3 linked regions of the Canis lupus familiaris genome follow. The protein of the gene in region 1 interacts with the protein of each later gene in a pairwise test. Links are inferred from orthologs where the notes say so. Each region holds a gene or a part of one and is shown on either strand. Other genes may lie near its edges.

What was found. The genes of interacting proteins can lie anywhere in the genome.
Region 2: the proteins of TRIP6 (region 1) and SIK3 interact in binary tests that used the Homo sapiens proteins (3 or more experiments, as listed by UniProt). The two-hybrid records come from large-scale screens. The link is inferred for Canis lupus familiaris from reciprocal best matches to the Homo sapiens genes TRIP6 and SIK3.
Region 3: the proteins of TRIP6 (region 1) and FRS3 interact in binary tests that used the Homo sapiens proteins (3 or more experiments, as listed by UniProt). The two-hybrid records come from large-scale screens. The link is inferred for Canis lupus familiaris from reciprocal best matches to the Homo sapiens genes TRIP6 and FRS3.

Annotation. Positions count from the first base shown.
Region 1 is NC_049227.1:8,843,526-8,848,184, reverse strand, and holds the start of TRIP6 (thyroid receptor-interacting protein 6), read left to right. Parts: upstream 1-1,584; 5' UTR 1,585-1,888; coding exon 1,889-1,997; intron 1,998-2,255; coding exon 2,256-2,383; intron 2,384-2,469; coding exon 2,470-2,595; intron 2,596-2,882; coding exon 2,883-3,260; intron 3,261-3,552; coding exon 3,553-3,646; intron 3,647-3,755; coding exon 3,756-3,925; intron 3,926-4,651; coding exon 4,652-4,659. Other genes in the region: SLC12A9 (solute carrier family 12 member 9), read left to right, coding at 149-1,041. UniProt on the Homo sapiens protein: Relays signals from the cell surface to the nucleus to weaken adherens junction and promote actin cytoskeleton reorganization and cell invasiveness. Involved in lysophosphatidic acid-induced cell adhesion and migration.
Region 2 is NC_049226.1:16,520,083-16,524,944, forward strand, and holds the start of SIK3 (serine/threonine-protein kinase SIK3), read left to right. Parts: upstream 1-1,684; coding exon 1,685-1,957; intron 1,958-4,862. UniProt on the Homo sapiens protein: Positive regulator of mTOR signaling that functions by triggering the degradation of DEPTOR, an mTOR inhibitor. Involved in the dynamic regulation of mTOR signaling in chondrocyte differentiation during skeletogenesis.
Region 3 is NC_049233.1:10,651,920-10,656,766, reverse strand, and holds the start of FRS3 (fibroblast growth factor receptor substrate 3), read left to right. Parts: upstream 1-1,669; 5' UTR 1,670-1,752; intron 1,753-2,013; exon of another isoform or gene 2,014-2,152; intron 2,153-2,902; exon of another isoform or gene 2,903-3,091; intron 3,092-3,387; 5' UTR 3,388-3,531; intron 3,532-4,847. UniProt on the Homo sapiens protein: Adapter protein that links FGF and NGF receptors to downstream signaling pathways. Involved in the activation of MAP kinases. Down-regulates ERK2 signaling by interfering with the phosphorylation and nuclear translocation of ERK2.

The sequences.
Region 1 (4,659 bases):
GGAGAGCCCAAGCACTGTACAAATGCCATACCTGATGGCTGACGTGTGTCGCTGTCAGCGTGTGCAAGTGGGTGCGTATTCGCGTGGTGTAAACTCAGCCTGTGAGTCTGATTCCTGTCTCTTCCCACCTCCCCCTCTCTGCTCCCAGGTGGCATGAAGCCCAACACTTTGGTCCTAGGTTTCTATGATGATGCTGCACCCCAGGACCACTTCCTGACAGACCCGGCTTTCTCCGAGGCTACTGATGGCACCCAGGAGGGTGGGTCCCCAGCCCTGAGCACTCTGTTTCCTCCACCCCGGGCTCCTGGGAGCCCCCGGGCTCTCAGCCCCCAGGACTATGTGGCCACAGTGGCAGACGCCCTCAAGATGAACAAGAATGTGGTTCTGGCCCGGGCCTGTGGGGCCCTGCCCCCGGAGCGGCTGAGCCGGGGTTCAGGGGGTACCTCTCAGCCACATCACGTGGATGTGTGGCCTCTCAACCTGCTGCGGCCCCGGGGTGGGCCTGGCTACGTGGATGTGTGTGGCCTTTTCCTGCTGCAGATGGCAACCATCTTGGGCATGGTGCCTGCTTGGCATAGCGCCCGGCTCCGGATCTTCTTGTGCCTGGGGCCTCGAGAGGCCCCCGGGGCGGCTGAGGGGCGGCTCCGGGCACTGCTGAGCCAGCTGAGGATCAGAGCCGAAGTACAGGAGGTGGTGTGGGGTGAGGGGGCTGGGGCTGGGGAGCCGGAGGAGGAGGAGGAGGAAGGAGACTTTGTGAATGGCAGGCGGGGAGATGCTGAGGCAGAGGCCCTGGCATGCAGTGCTAACGCCCTGGTTCGGGCCCAGCAGGGGCGCGGCAGAGGAGGCGGGCCCGGTGGGCCTGAGGGTGCGGATGGCGAAGGTGGGCCTGCCACAGCCCTCACTTTCCTATACCTGCCTCGGCCGCCCGCCGATCCTGCCTGCTACACTCGCTACCTGGCGCTCCTGGAGACTCTGACCCATGATCTGGGCCCCACGCTACTCATTCACGGAGTCACCCCAGTCACTTGCACTGATCTCTGATGCCCGGGGCCTGGAGCAGAGGGTGCCCAGGTCCGGTGACCTGCTTTGATCAGTGGATGCAGAAGGGAAGGGCAGCCTCCCGCCTGCTCCACGTGTGGGGTGTGGAGCCCTGTGGAAGTACTAGGGGATCCTGGGCTGGGGCACCCCTCTGTCCCTGTGAGAGGGGCTTTAGTGCACTAATGCAGGGCAGCTGTGTCCCCACCACGCTGGGGGAGAAAGGCAGCAGCCCTCCCCACTGGCCTCCCTTCCTTCACTGGTGCCTTGATGGAGGCTGGGTCTCTGCTTTGACTCTCGGCTACCTCAGTCTCCCCTTGCCCAACAGACTCGCAGACCCCTGAGGTTGTGATGTTTTTGTTCTGTTTTATTTTTCTAACCGCTGAACGTGAATAAAAGACCAAAACACTATGGGCTGGCCTGGCTGAGCACTGCTAGGGGCGGTAGGTGGGGCGGGAAGAGAGAGATCTGGTTGGGGGAGTGTGGGAAAGAGCCGCGCTGGAGCGCGTCCCAGCGGCGAGGTGGCCACGTGCGGGACTTGGGGCGCCAGTCTGGGGGAACGAGTGAAACGGAGGCAGCCTTGGAAAGCTCTCCCTGCTCGGCGGGAGGGGGCCGACTGGGGGAGGGACGGCAGTTTAGGGCCTAGGGGGCCACGTGACCCTCCCCCAGGAATGTGGTGACGTCACCGGGGGCGTGGCTGTCCCCAAAATTGGGGAGGAAGGGGAAAAAAAAGGCCAGAAAAAGTTTCTTTCCTGGAGTTCCAAACGAGGTGTGGGACAGAAGAAGGGGCCAAGACCAGAGTCTTGGGGCTACGTGGGGCCTGACCGCTGTCTAGAGTCTCCTGATCCCGGCCATGTCGGGGCCCACCTGGCTCCCCCCAAGGCAGCTGGAGCCTGCAAGAGCCCCTCAGGGGAGAGCACTCCCCCGAGGTGCCCCGGGGCCGCCGCCAGCCCATGGAGCAGGTAAGGCAGCCCCAGTGCCGCCAAGGAGGCCACTGGCCATTCTGAGCTCACCTTCGCCTTCTGGTTCCTGCCTCCTGCCCCTGGCTTGTCCCTGCCACCCCTTCCCTGAAGCCCTTCCGGCTTCCTGCTCCTGCTCTGTTCTGGGACTCCAAGTGTGGGGGGGGAGGGGAGAAGAGTGACCCATGAGGGCGGCCTCCATAAGTGTCACCCTCCCCTCCTTCCCCATCCCCACCTTGGCTCTCTTTTCCCTCACCCTAGCACATCAGCCCCACCCCAGGGTCAATTTTTGCCCCCTCCCATCTGAGCAGTGTTACCAGGCCCCCGGGGGACCAGATGATCGGGGGTTCCCCTGGGTGGGGTGCCATGGAGCACCCCAGCGCTCACAGGTGAGAATTGGAATTGGGAGTGGGTGGGAGGTGGGGGCACCCGGGGCAAGTGACTTGAATTCTCCCTGCTTTTTCTTCATCTCCAGGGGCTCCCCCCAGACAGGGGGGCCTTGCGTCCAGGAAGTCTGGATGCCGAGATAGATTCGCTGACCAGCATGCTGGCTGAGTTGGATGGAGGTCGTGGTCATGCCCCACGGCGGTCAGACCGGCAGGTGACTTCCCTGTCCCACCCCTGTTCCTTGTCTCCTGCCCTCTTCCACACTCCCCATCCTGGTCCTTTCCCTAGATTCTCAACCTGGTACCCTTCACCCTTGCCCCCATGTGTGATACATGCAGGAGTATCACATCTTACTAGATTGTCAGCCTCTTGAGTGCTTGTCAAAGACCAGCACTACCTTGGGGACACACACACACACACACACACACACACACACGTGGGAGGGCCCACAAGTGTGTGTCCTGGAATGGGCCTTCTCACTCCTGGTCTGTTTCTCCCCAGGCTTATGAGCCCCCTCAGCCCCATGCCTACCGCACAGGCTCAGGCTCCCTGAAGCCGAATGGAGGGGGTGTTCCTATTCCTCCCCAACAGCTCTCAGCGTCTCCCTATGGGGGCCCCACTCCAGCCTCCTATGCTACAGCCAGCACCCCCGCTGGCCCTGCCTTCCCTGTGCAAGTGAAGGTGGCACAACCAGTGAGAGGCTGTGGCCCTCCCAGGCGGGGGGCCTCTCAGGCCTCCGGGGCCCTCCCGGGCCCTCACTTTCCTCTCCCAGGCCAAGGTGAAGTCTGGGGGGCTGGCTATAGGAGCCACCATGAGCCAGGGCCAGGGGTTAAAGAGGAGGCTGCAGGAGGAGGAAGAGGAGGCGCGTATGGGCCCCAGGTAAGCCCTAAGTATTGGGATGTGGGGTCCTCATGGACAACTGGACACTGATTGGGTGGGGTGGGGAGTCCTGGGGTGTTGGAGTTCTGGGTCCCAGGGATGTGGCGCTGGTCAGGAAATAGAAGAGGGAGGTGCTGGAGCTGTACACTGGCTCCTGGAGGTGCACCCCTGGGCCCCGGGCTGAGACCTCGTCAGATGAGCTTTCTGCTTGGAACTGCCTGGTCCCCTTCAGGAAAGTCTGACAGCATAGGGAGCTGGAGGTAGGGCTGAACCCCTGACTCCCCCCTTTCAGGTCCCCCTGAACCAGCCTCCTGAGGAAGAGCTTGAGAGGCTGACGAAGAAACTGGTGCATGACATGAACCATCCTCCCACCGGGGAGTACTTTGGTGAGCTGACCTGAGGTGGGAAGGGGGGCAGGGGACTGGGGAGTCAAGGGGACAGCGAATCCACCTTCCATTCTGCATGCTTATTGACCCTGTCCCTCCCTGTCCCCAGGGCGGTGCGGCGGCTGTGGGGAAGATGTGGTTGGGGATGGGGCTGGCGTTGTGGCCCTGGACCGGGTCTTTCACGTTGGCTGCTTCGTGTGCTCTACATGCCGGGCCCAGCTTCGGGGCCAACATTTCTATGCTGTGGAGAGGAGGGCGTACTGTGAGAGCTGCTATGTGGTGAGTGGGTGTGCTGGGGGTGGCCTGGGTGCTGGAGTCTGTAGCAGGAGGCAGGAGGCTTCCATCTAAGGTAGCAGGAGGCAGGAGGCTTCCATCTAAGGTGGAAACTAGATGTCTAAGCACATGAGAGGGACAGAATTCAAAGGTGGGGGATGCCTGGGTGGCCCAGTGGTTGAGCATCTGCTTTCGGCTCAGGTGGTGATCCTGGAGCCCTGGATTGAGTCCCGTATTGGGTTCCCCCCAGGGAGCCTGCTTCTCCCTCTGCCTATGTCTCTACTTCTCTCTCCGTGTCTCTCATGAATAAATAAATAAAGTCTTAAAGGAAAAAAGAACTCCAAGCTGGGGGACTAAACTGATGTGTAAGAAGGAAGGAATTGGGAAAGTAGTGAAATTACTGGCTGCTGGAGGGAAAGGACAATAGTTCCTTACAAATGTGAGAGGAGGAGGAAGAAGAGGAGGAGACCAGACTTATCTTGAGTTAAGGGAATATGTTAAATTTCCACACTGCTGCCCCTGTGAAGCAGCTGATACTACTGTAGGAAACGGAAGTTGAGACTGGATCACTTCTGTAGGAAGCTACAGTGCTGGGACTTAGATCTGTTCAGGGCCACTTTTCACTGAATCCCTTGCAGGCTATAAAAACAGGTGGGTAGGCCAGCAGGGTGCCTGCCAGCCACCGGACCTCCTCAGCCCTGAACTTGCCACCCTTCCTTTCTAATTCGCTAGGCCACCCT
Region 2 (4,862 bases), on another chromosome or scaffold:
TTGAGGCCCCCCACCCCAGGGAGATGGCAAAACTGTGACTCTGGAGTGCAGCGCTAAAGCTAATGCACAGGCAGGTGAGTGAGGTCATGAAGTGCTAAGAGAGGTTGGGCACACCCCATCATTTATTTGGGATTGAATGAGCTCAACCAAGGCAAGGGCTTAACCAACACAAGAAGCTGAGGACCATTGCATCCTTATCCTTACGTGCTAGTCAAGCAGCCAATTACTGTTAATTGTGTTGGCAGTTTGGAACAGCAACCAGGGAACTGATGCAAGACAATTGTGGGATGACCTCTCTGTCCCGTCCTAGTGCCAGCCATTACTCATAGTCAGATGGGGAGCCAGGACGCGCTCGTAAACATTTTTGGGTCAGAGAGAGTCAATAGGCTCCCTCCTCCTCACACACTCACGGTGCCCTGGGTGTCAGTTTTGGTATGGTACATGCGGTCACCTGACGACACAGTTCCGCCGCACAGACAGGCAGACGTCCAGGTGGATGGATCCGGACCGGACTGAGCACATCTTAACACTGGAGCGTTCAGTCCTCTCCCTGTCTCTAGCACCCCCCAGGCTGCCAAAGGCCACCTTGCCATTGCCAGCCCCATCGCCTATCCCTCTTATCCCCCCCCCCAAAGCAATTAAATCAATCTAGTTAATAGAAGCAGTGGGACGAAGTGGAAGGGAAAGCGCGGAGCTAGTGAGGAGGGGCCCTGGGGGATCCGGATGGCAGAGGAAGGAGAGAGAGAGAGAGAGTGTGAGATTCACTGTTGGAAGCGTCACTTTGGTCACCTTCGATGTCTTTGGAGGGTCCCCGTGGGGAGGGAATCATGATGCCAGAACCTGCTTCTTCATTTTGCCTAACAGACGGTTTCGTCCCTGAGCACGACGTGGCCCTGCTGGACGACGCGCAGCTGCTTCGTCGGGTCACGGCAGCGACACGAGCAGGACGCGGCGCCGGGACCGCCGGGACCGCCCCCCGCTGCAGGGTCGCCGGAGGCCGGGCGGAGGGAGACCCCCGGCGGAGCGCATCCCCGCGCGGCCCCGCCCCCGCGCCCCCCACCCCGCGGGCCGTGACGGGGCGCCCGGTGGCCGCGGGGCAGTTGCGCTGCTGGAAGGAATCTTGCTGAAGAACTGCCCTGCCCGGCCACCGGCCTGCTGACGGTTTCCTCGGCGCGGCGGCTGCTCCTGCCTGGGGGGCCTCGAGGGCTAAAGGGGGACGAGGCCGCGGTTTCCGGGGACGGGGCAGTACTTTGGTTCACGGGAGGCCGGGCGACTGCTGAAGGGGGCGGGTGGCCTGGAGCGCCGTGGCCTGCACCTCCCGCGGCCCCCCCCGCCCCCGCCCCCGCCCGCGAGCGCGAGCGCGGCGGCCGTCCCGGAGCGGCGGGCGGGCGGGCGGCGCGCACCGTCCCGTCCCCGGAGGGGGGCGCCCGGGAGCCAGCGCCCGGGCCGCCGTCCCACGCGGGGAGGGCGGGCGGGCGGGCGGGCCGGTGACGTCACGGTTGCCATGGCCGCGGGCAGTGACGCGCGTCGGCACGTGACGCGCCGTTGCCATGGCGCCGGGCCCCGGCGGCGCGGGCGCCCCGCCTCCCGGAGTGACGTGGGCCGGCCCCCCCGCTTTTCCCGCCCCCCGCCCCCTCCCCCCCGCCGGCTCCCCGCGGCCCGGGAGGTTTCACTGCACAACAAGATGGCGGCGGCGGCGGCGAGCGGAGCTGGCGGGGCTGCCGGGGCCGGGGCGGGGGGAGCCGGGCCGGCGGGCCGCCTGCTGCCTCCGCCCGCCCCGGGGCCGCCGGCCGCCCCCGCTGCCGTGCCCCCGGCGGCCGGCCCGCCGCGTCCCCCCGCCCCGGCCTCCCGCGGGCCGGTGCCTGCGCGCATCGGCTACTACGAGATCGACCGCACCATCGGCAAGGGCAACTTCGCGGTGGTCAAGCGGGCCACGCACCTCGTCACCAAGGCCAAGGTAGCGGCGCGGCGGCAGCGCGGCCCGGGGCGGGGGCGGGGGCGGGGGCGCGGGGCCGGGGCCGGGGCCGGGGCGAGCGCGGGGCGCGGGGCGCGGGGCCGGGCGGCCGGGGCCGGGGACCGACGCTGCGGAGCCGGGGCTGCGGGGGGCGGCGGGGGAGCTCTGGGACTCCTGGCGGAGCCGCACCCCGAAGCCGGGGGCCCCGGGAGCCCGCAGTTGGAGCCCCCGGGGGACGGGGGCAGGGGCTAGGAGGTGCGGACCGCGGGGTGGCCGCGGGGGGGCTTCGGAGAGGACCAAGGACGGCCGGGGCATGCCGGGGCGCGGGGCTGCGGGGCTGCGGGGGTGCGCGGTCCTGGCGCCCCGTGACACACGCCGGGCAGCGCTTGGTCGCCCGGGACTGATGGGAGGTCGCGGCGGGGAGCGGGAGCCCGGGGACGGCCCCGAGATCGTTGGAGGAGGCGACGGAGAAAACGGGGAAACGAGGGGGAGGCAGATCGCGTGGCTCCTCCGCGGGAAGGGGCTCAGGGAGCAGAGGCCCAGGGCGCCCGGGGTCGTGACGGCACTAGGGAGTCAGGGGGTAAGCGGTTCGGGAGAGCTGGGTTGCTGCTTTATTTTTAGTTGTTGCAGGGTCTGGAATCGTGGGCTTTCAGAGAGCCCCGGGGTGGGCTCTCGGCGGTGGTGGGGGAAGCCCGGTGGGTGACGGAGGAGGTGTTGGAGGAACCCAGACCCTGGAGGATCAGTACACTCCTTGGGCCCTTTGGTTCTCCAGGGATTTGCGGAGCTGTTACTAGTGAAATGGGCCAAGGTCAGTTAGGAAGGCACATAAGTACACATGTACGGTTTGACATGTAAAATTCCTTTTTTTTTTTTGAGGAAATGTGGGGTAGCCTTCTTCACTGGAAGTATTGGAACCAGAGTCCTCAGGAGGAATCTTTTGGTCTTGAGAGGACCCACAAAGCCCATTTGTACTCCAGATCTCTTGCTTTGCTCAATCTCTCACTTGAATGAATACTTTCAGTGTAGTCATTCATTATATCTAAAACTGCAGTTTGTGTTTTCCTTCAACCTGATGAAGCACCCTTAGAGCTGCTGCTCCTGCTTCCTACCAAAGCCACATCAATTCCTCACCTCCTCAGTCTGGCCCTTATCATCGCCTGCCTTGTTTTTTGCTTTTATGGCAATTGCTTATTTTCAGAAGCCAGTAACTTATCTAGGCCTTCTCTCCTGCTCACTCACAACCTGAAGTTCCTTTTTTCCCTCCTTTCTGTCAGAGCCTACAAGGGGCCCTTTCCACCAGGGTAGCAGGGTAGGTGGCTGTGGAAAATTGATTGGTCAGTTTCACTTCCTCTGGGGGGCCCCCTTCAGCCTTTTTGTCAGTTTTTATGGGAGGGCCTCAAGTCTGCAGGTCTGAGCTGAATGAGATACCAAAGTCCAGGATTCTCTGATGTCACCCTCAGACCCTGAGGGGGACTAGACTGAGCCAAGACTTTGGTGCGTCTCTGCCTGTCCCCCCCCCCCCCCCCCCATGCACACCCAGGTGTTTACAGTTCTATTTACTGTTAGCTAAGCCAAAGTTATGTTTATAAACAATACTAGTTGTTCGAGAGCTTTGTTCCTTGTTTCAGTATTTCCTTTTTTTTTTTTTTTTTTAAACCTCCCCCTCTCTTCTAAGTAATCACATTGAGCTCCTGTGATTATTTTGCTCTGACCTCTGGGGGATGGACTCCATGAACTTAATTGGTTTCCTGGTTTATGGTATCTATGATTTAAAGAACTTTGTGTCTTACAGCCCTTGGATACACCAAAATATTGATAAAAAAAAAAATCTGTGACAGACAGGGTTGTATGTTTTTGTAAATGTAATTGCAAACAGTTGATTCTTGGCTTTATATATAAAAGAGACATTTTTATCTTCAGTAGTCAGCAAAGCCAGTGGCTAATTATGGCTGATCTGCTTGCTTTCTAATTTCCCTATGTGTGTGTGTGTGTTTCTTGGTTTTTCTCCGAGGCCTTGGTGTCCTTTAGGATAGCAGCATTTTAAACATTAGCTTGTTTATACACGGGTGTCACTGTTTATGTTGGTTTTTATCTTTGATCATTTGTGGTGTGCAGTTATGTAATGCGTATGTATGGAAATATTTGAAATCCTGAACGATACCGAATGAAATGGCTTGGACAATGAGTTGCATGTGTGCGAGGACCACACCAGCGCTCATTTGTGTTTCTGTAGCAGTGTGCAATTTCCTAGTTACAGTTACAAGTGCCCTATCTTTTGCTGCTTAAATTACTCTGACGACATGAGTGAAGCTTAATTCACAAGGAGTTGTCATGTGCTCTGGGTGAACGATGAGCATATTTTGGCCTGCTCCATGGTTGTCTGAATCCACTTTGGAAGGGATTCTTAAATGCTGACAGCTTAGATGTGCCTAACAGCTGTTGACATACAGTGTGATGGCCTATTAAGGCCATGGTTTGGTTATATAATGGCAAAGAAGGTGCCTAGCTAGGTACTAGTAGATGCAGAAGCTGCTGTTTCAATTGCTCAGGGAGATAGATTTTTCTCTCCGTGCACTGCAGTGTTTATTTTACTTCTGCAGTCAGGTCACTTGGAACCAAGAGAGCTATTTTTTCCCCCCACCTCTTTCTAGAATCTATAATTTTTTGTTTCATCTTTTAGAGGTCTGTGATTTTTTTTTTTTTTCTCCTCTTCCCCTGTAAGCCACTGAATGGTCTGGGTTTTTCTTAAAACCGTGTCTAACAGGGGGATCCCTGGGTGGCTCAGCGGTTTAGCGCCTGCCTTCGGCCCAGGACATGACCCCGGAGTCCTGGGATCGAGTCCCACGTCGGGCTTCCTGCATGGAGCCTGCTTCTCCCTCTGCCTGTGTCTCTGCCTCTCTCTGTGTCT
Region 3 (4,847 bases), on another chromosome or scaffold:
AACTGGGGGATGTCCTAGGAAGAAGTTGCCTTTGAGGTCTAGGATGGATTTTGACAGCAGCTAGGGCACAGGAGGTCCTCACCAGATCCCAGGCCTCTATAAAACTCAGCTGTGGAGTTGAGAACAAGGTTTGGACTCTTAACAGTTATATTGGTTCCCAGCCCTCCCACCCCCTTCAGACGTCCTGTGCCACCCATCCCTGCTTCCACACCCATCTGCTTCCTTCCTGTTCTGTCATGTTTCCTGTGGAAAGCAGCCAGGATGGGCTGTTCACATTCAGGGCCAGGAGTAGCCACTTCCCCTGACAGCACTGCCCCTGCTCCATCCAGGCGGCAAGAGGCACTTGGGAGAGGGTTCGGAGCCACCTGGGACCTCAGGGTGGATTTGCACCCTCTTCCAGGTTCTAGTTTGTCTGCAATTGCCCCGCACAGAAACAATGCTCAGAAGTCAGCTCTCACCCCTCACCCTTCCATCCTCCCATCTCCACTCAGCCCTGGACCCGGTCTTACTAACAAGCTGGATTTCTTCAAGAATCCCCCTCCTTCTCAGGGCTGAACCCTGTCTCCCGCCCCCGCGCAGGTGCAACCCGGTTCAAGAGTTCACTCTTCCCAATCCGCCCCTGCCCTGGAGGGCAGAGCCTGCACAGCCCTAGGGACCAGGGAGGTAAAAGGATGGGAAGGTTTTCCGCGGACAGCGAGAGAGAGAAGTACCCGGCCCTGCCAAGTGTCCCCTCGACAGATTCCTAGGGCTTGTTCTTGGACGTCCCCGGGAGTCGGGAACCCCGGGGTTCCCAGTCTGGGTGCTGGGAGCTTAGGGGAGGGCACGGGACTCCGCCGGGGTCTCACCCTCGCTGCGCGCCGGCGTCCGGGCAGCTCTGGACGGACCCCGCCGGCCGGCCCCCCGCCCAGTCCCCACCCTGAGGCCTCAGCGCCCGCCCCCGCCCGCCCCGGGAGCGCCGCCCGCCCTCTCCCTCGCCTCCCGCGGCCCCCGCCCGCCCCTCCCGGACTGGAAGAGCGGGCAGCTGGCGCGGGGCCTGGAGTTGCAGCCGGAAGGACAGGATCTGGGGGACCGCAGGGTGGAGAGTGCAGGCTCCACTGCCCCTCCCCACTCCCAGGGGCTCGCGAAGGCACTGCGCCCCCGCGGGCACGGGGCGGACACCTGGGAGCCGCCGTCGGGCCGGGTCTTCAGTCATTGGCGGAACCGTGCGCCTCTCCGAGCCGGCAGGTCCCCTCAGACCCTCCTCCGGCCCCGCCCCTCTCCTCACCCCTCTCAGTTGCCTCCCCCGGTCCCCAGCCCTCTTTAGGGATTCTTCATCTTGCCTTTCTCCCTGCAGGCAGGCCGTTCAGGCCCTTCCCCTATCTTTTTTGTCTCTTCCCCCGACCCCGGTCCCTCTTCTGATCCGGGGAGTGGAAACCTCCGGTCCCATCTCTGGGTCCCTTCTCGGCCCCGCCCCCGCCCCGCCCCGCCCCTCTCCGTGGGGCTAGCTCCGCGGCTGGCCCGGAGCGCCCTCTGGCGTCTGCGCATGCTCCCCGCTCCCGACTGCAAAGTCCTCCAAGGGGACCTTCTAGGCTGCGCGCTGGTCGCCCCCGATCGGGTCCGCCCGCCCGCAGCGTCTCGTTGGTGCTGCCGGTGACCTCCGACCCCGCGGCCGCGGGGCGGGGCGGGGCGGGGAGGCCTTAGCTCCGGGCGGGCGGCGGCTGCTGCAGCGGGACCCGGGAGCGGGGCCCGGCGCCGCCCGGGCCGCGGGGCGATGTGAGTCGGGGCGCGGCGGGGCGGGGACGAGGCGGTTCCACCGAGGCCGCACCGCGCCGCGCCACAGCCTCCGCTCCCTCCCGAGGAAGCCCTGGGCGGGCGGGCGGTGGAGTCCCGGGGCTGGGGGCGGGGATCTGGGACGGCGCGCGGCCCCGACCTCCCCCATCGCTTCCCGGTGTCTGTAGAAATTCCCTGACAACCCCGCCACCCGAATCTGTCGCTCATTCCCCAGAACCACCCCACCCCCAACCCCGGACACACCTCGGCTTGTCCTGGAGCCCTTGGAACCCCCTCACTCCTGCGAATTCTCCTGTTCACGCCCGCAGAGCCACCACTCTCCGGAATGCCCCCCAGATGCTTCCAGAGCGCTGCGGTTCCTGATCCTGCATACGCCCCGTTCTCCTTGCACCACGCTTTAATGCAGAAAACTTACCCATGTTTCCGCAAGCCCTCCTATATTTTGAGTCCCCATAACCCACCCTGACACTCCCACCTCCGATCCACACCTCTGGGGGACCAGAGCCCCTACCTGTCCCAGCCACTGTAACCACCACCCCCCCCACCCCACCCCCGTCACTGAAGTGTCATGATACGTTCTGATATCCTAAAGACAAACGAAGGGGACAGAAAAAGGTGCAACACCCTCCCCCATCTTGCACCCTATAGTTCTTGGTTTCACCCCCAGACTCCCTGTTGGTGGCTCCAGCCTCAGTATTTTCCCGGCTGCCTGTCTTCAGGCTGTGCACACCTCCCTCAGCCTTTTTCCTTCTTGCAGAGCATAAGCCAGACCAGAGGGATGGGGGTCCCTTTACCGGGAAAGCTGTAGGAGGAAGCAGAGCACAAGGGTCCCCTGGGAAAGGATATTGCTTTTGGAAAGCAGGAGGGTGGGATTTCAAGGATCTCCAAGGCCCTGGCTTGTCAACATGTCCACCTGGGGCTGAATCCCCTGGATCCCTGAAATTTTGATTTATTGTTAGCGTTTATGTTAAAATTTTAGGCGTTACAAAGCTTGGAGAACAGAATATCTATCAAGTTTCCAAATGTCAGATGGAGGGAGCGTAGCTTGTCCTGGAAGGGGCAAATACCCGTTTTCGTGACCATTTTACTACGGACTTAACCGCTTTCAGGTTAATTAAGCCAGAACCTCGCCATTTACAGAGGTTTCCCTTGAAAACTAAGGCCTTGAGGTGGGAGGTAGGGGATTGTCTTGCCAGAGTCTCCCAGATGCTTAGTGCCAGCTTAGATCATTCGTTTCCTGAATCTTAAGCCAGCATTCTTTCCAGTACATCACAGTGTCCTTTTCAGAAAGCTCTCTGTAGAGTTAAAGTTTTCTGCAAAGGTAAGGTGGTGGTTTTGGTGTTGGTTGTAACAGGATTCAGATGGGTTCTAGGGGCAACTGAAAAGGCTGTCTCCGACTTCAGATTCCTTGCAACTAGGGTAGTGGCTCCCTTTCAGGGCCTGGGGGGCTTGGATTTGTGGCCCTTTGGCCTTGAACTCACTCTCTTCATTGTGTGTCCTGTCAGGACCTGGAACAGATATCCAGGTGGGATGGATTGACAGCAAGTGAATTCATTAACAATTGGGGGCGAGCATGGAAGGTTTCCGCTAACTTGTGGTCTTTGTTTCCTGTGCCAGGTGAGCCCCAGGTGTGTCCCAGAGGGATCCAGGTGACTTCTCTGCAGACTACTTGCCATGATGCCCCACCAAGAACAGGGGGAATAAAGTGGGGGTCCTTCCCCATGCCCCTCCCATGGTCAGCTCCCCGATGGCCTGGGTGAGGTGAGAGCTGTGTAAAGGAGCCACTCTTCTGGAGTTTTCCAAGTCGGGAGGAATGGGGGATATCAGTCAGGATTGTTCAGGGCTTTACACATTCAGTGGGAGTTCCTGAAGGATATCTGATCTTACAGATTCATTTTTTCAAAGATATATTTATTTAAAGATATATTTATTTAGTGAGGGAGAGGGAGAGGGAGAGAGAATCTCAAGCAGACTGCTGAGTGCAGAGCCTGATGTGGGGCTCAATCTCATGACCCTGAGATCACGACCTGAATTGAAATCAAGAGTTGGAGGCTTAACTGACTGAGCTCCCCAGGTATCCCTTATAAATTGATTTCTTGCATCAAGTTGCAACCCTTCTGGTTGCGACTGTTCTGTGCATTTGTTTGCTCCCTAAGGTCACTCCAGTTTGGCGGTCTCCTCTCCATTCTAGACAAAGGCCCAACTGTTGTGACATGTAATCCAAGTGCTATAATCCTGGAGGGAAAAGCCAGATACTAAGGCCTCTGGTCTCCTTTTTAGACAAAGAGGAGCAAACCCAGAGTTTTTTTTTTTTTTTAAAGGAAGAAATGCATAATCAAGGTTATAAAAAATGTGCTGTTTTGAATTTAGTCTTCTTACTGTATCTTGACTGTGATGTGATGCCTCACAGAAGAGAACATCAAAAAGATAAATTTGAAGTCCATTTTGGGATGGTGGTGAGGGAAGAAAAAAGAATTTGAGTGATGTGGGAAGGGTAAGGTAGAAAAGAGGGGAAAAAAAAAGAAAAAGAGGAAGGTCCAGACCAAAGTGTCGGGGACTCCCAAGTTACAGTTTCTCTGCTGAATCCACATGAAGGCTCTGGATTGGCATCCAGCTCCCTCTGAAGAAAATCACTTTTCTGGTTCCCTGCCTTTTATATTATTTAATTTAATTTAATTTAATTTTATTTAATTTTATTTTATTTTATATTTTATTTTGTTTTATTTTATTATTTATTTTATTTTATTATTCTATTCTATTCTATTCTATTTCTATTCTATTCTATTCATCTTTTCAAAAAAGAGAGGGAGAGAGCATGCAAGCAAGGGGATGAGCAGAGATAGAGACACAAGCAGACTCATGCTGAGCATGGGGCCTGACCTGGGGCTTGATCCCACAACCTCGAGATCATGACTTGAACCAAAATCAGGCATCAGACGACTGACCAATCTCACCACCTAGGCACCCCTCCCTCTTTGTCCATGCTTTTCCTGCTTTACAGGCTTCCCATTGCTTGCATTATCTCATACAGAATGCTCCTCACTTCTCAGGGTCCAGATCAGATGTTACCTCTGAGA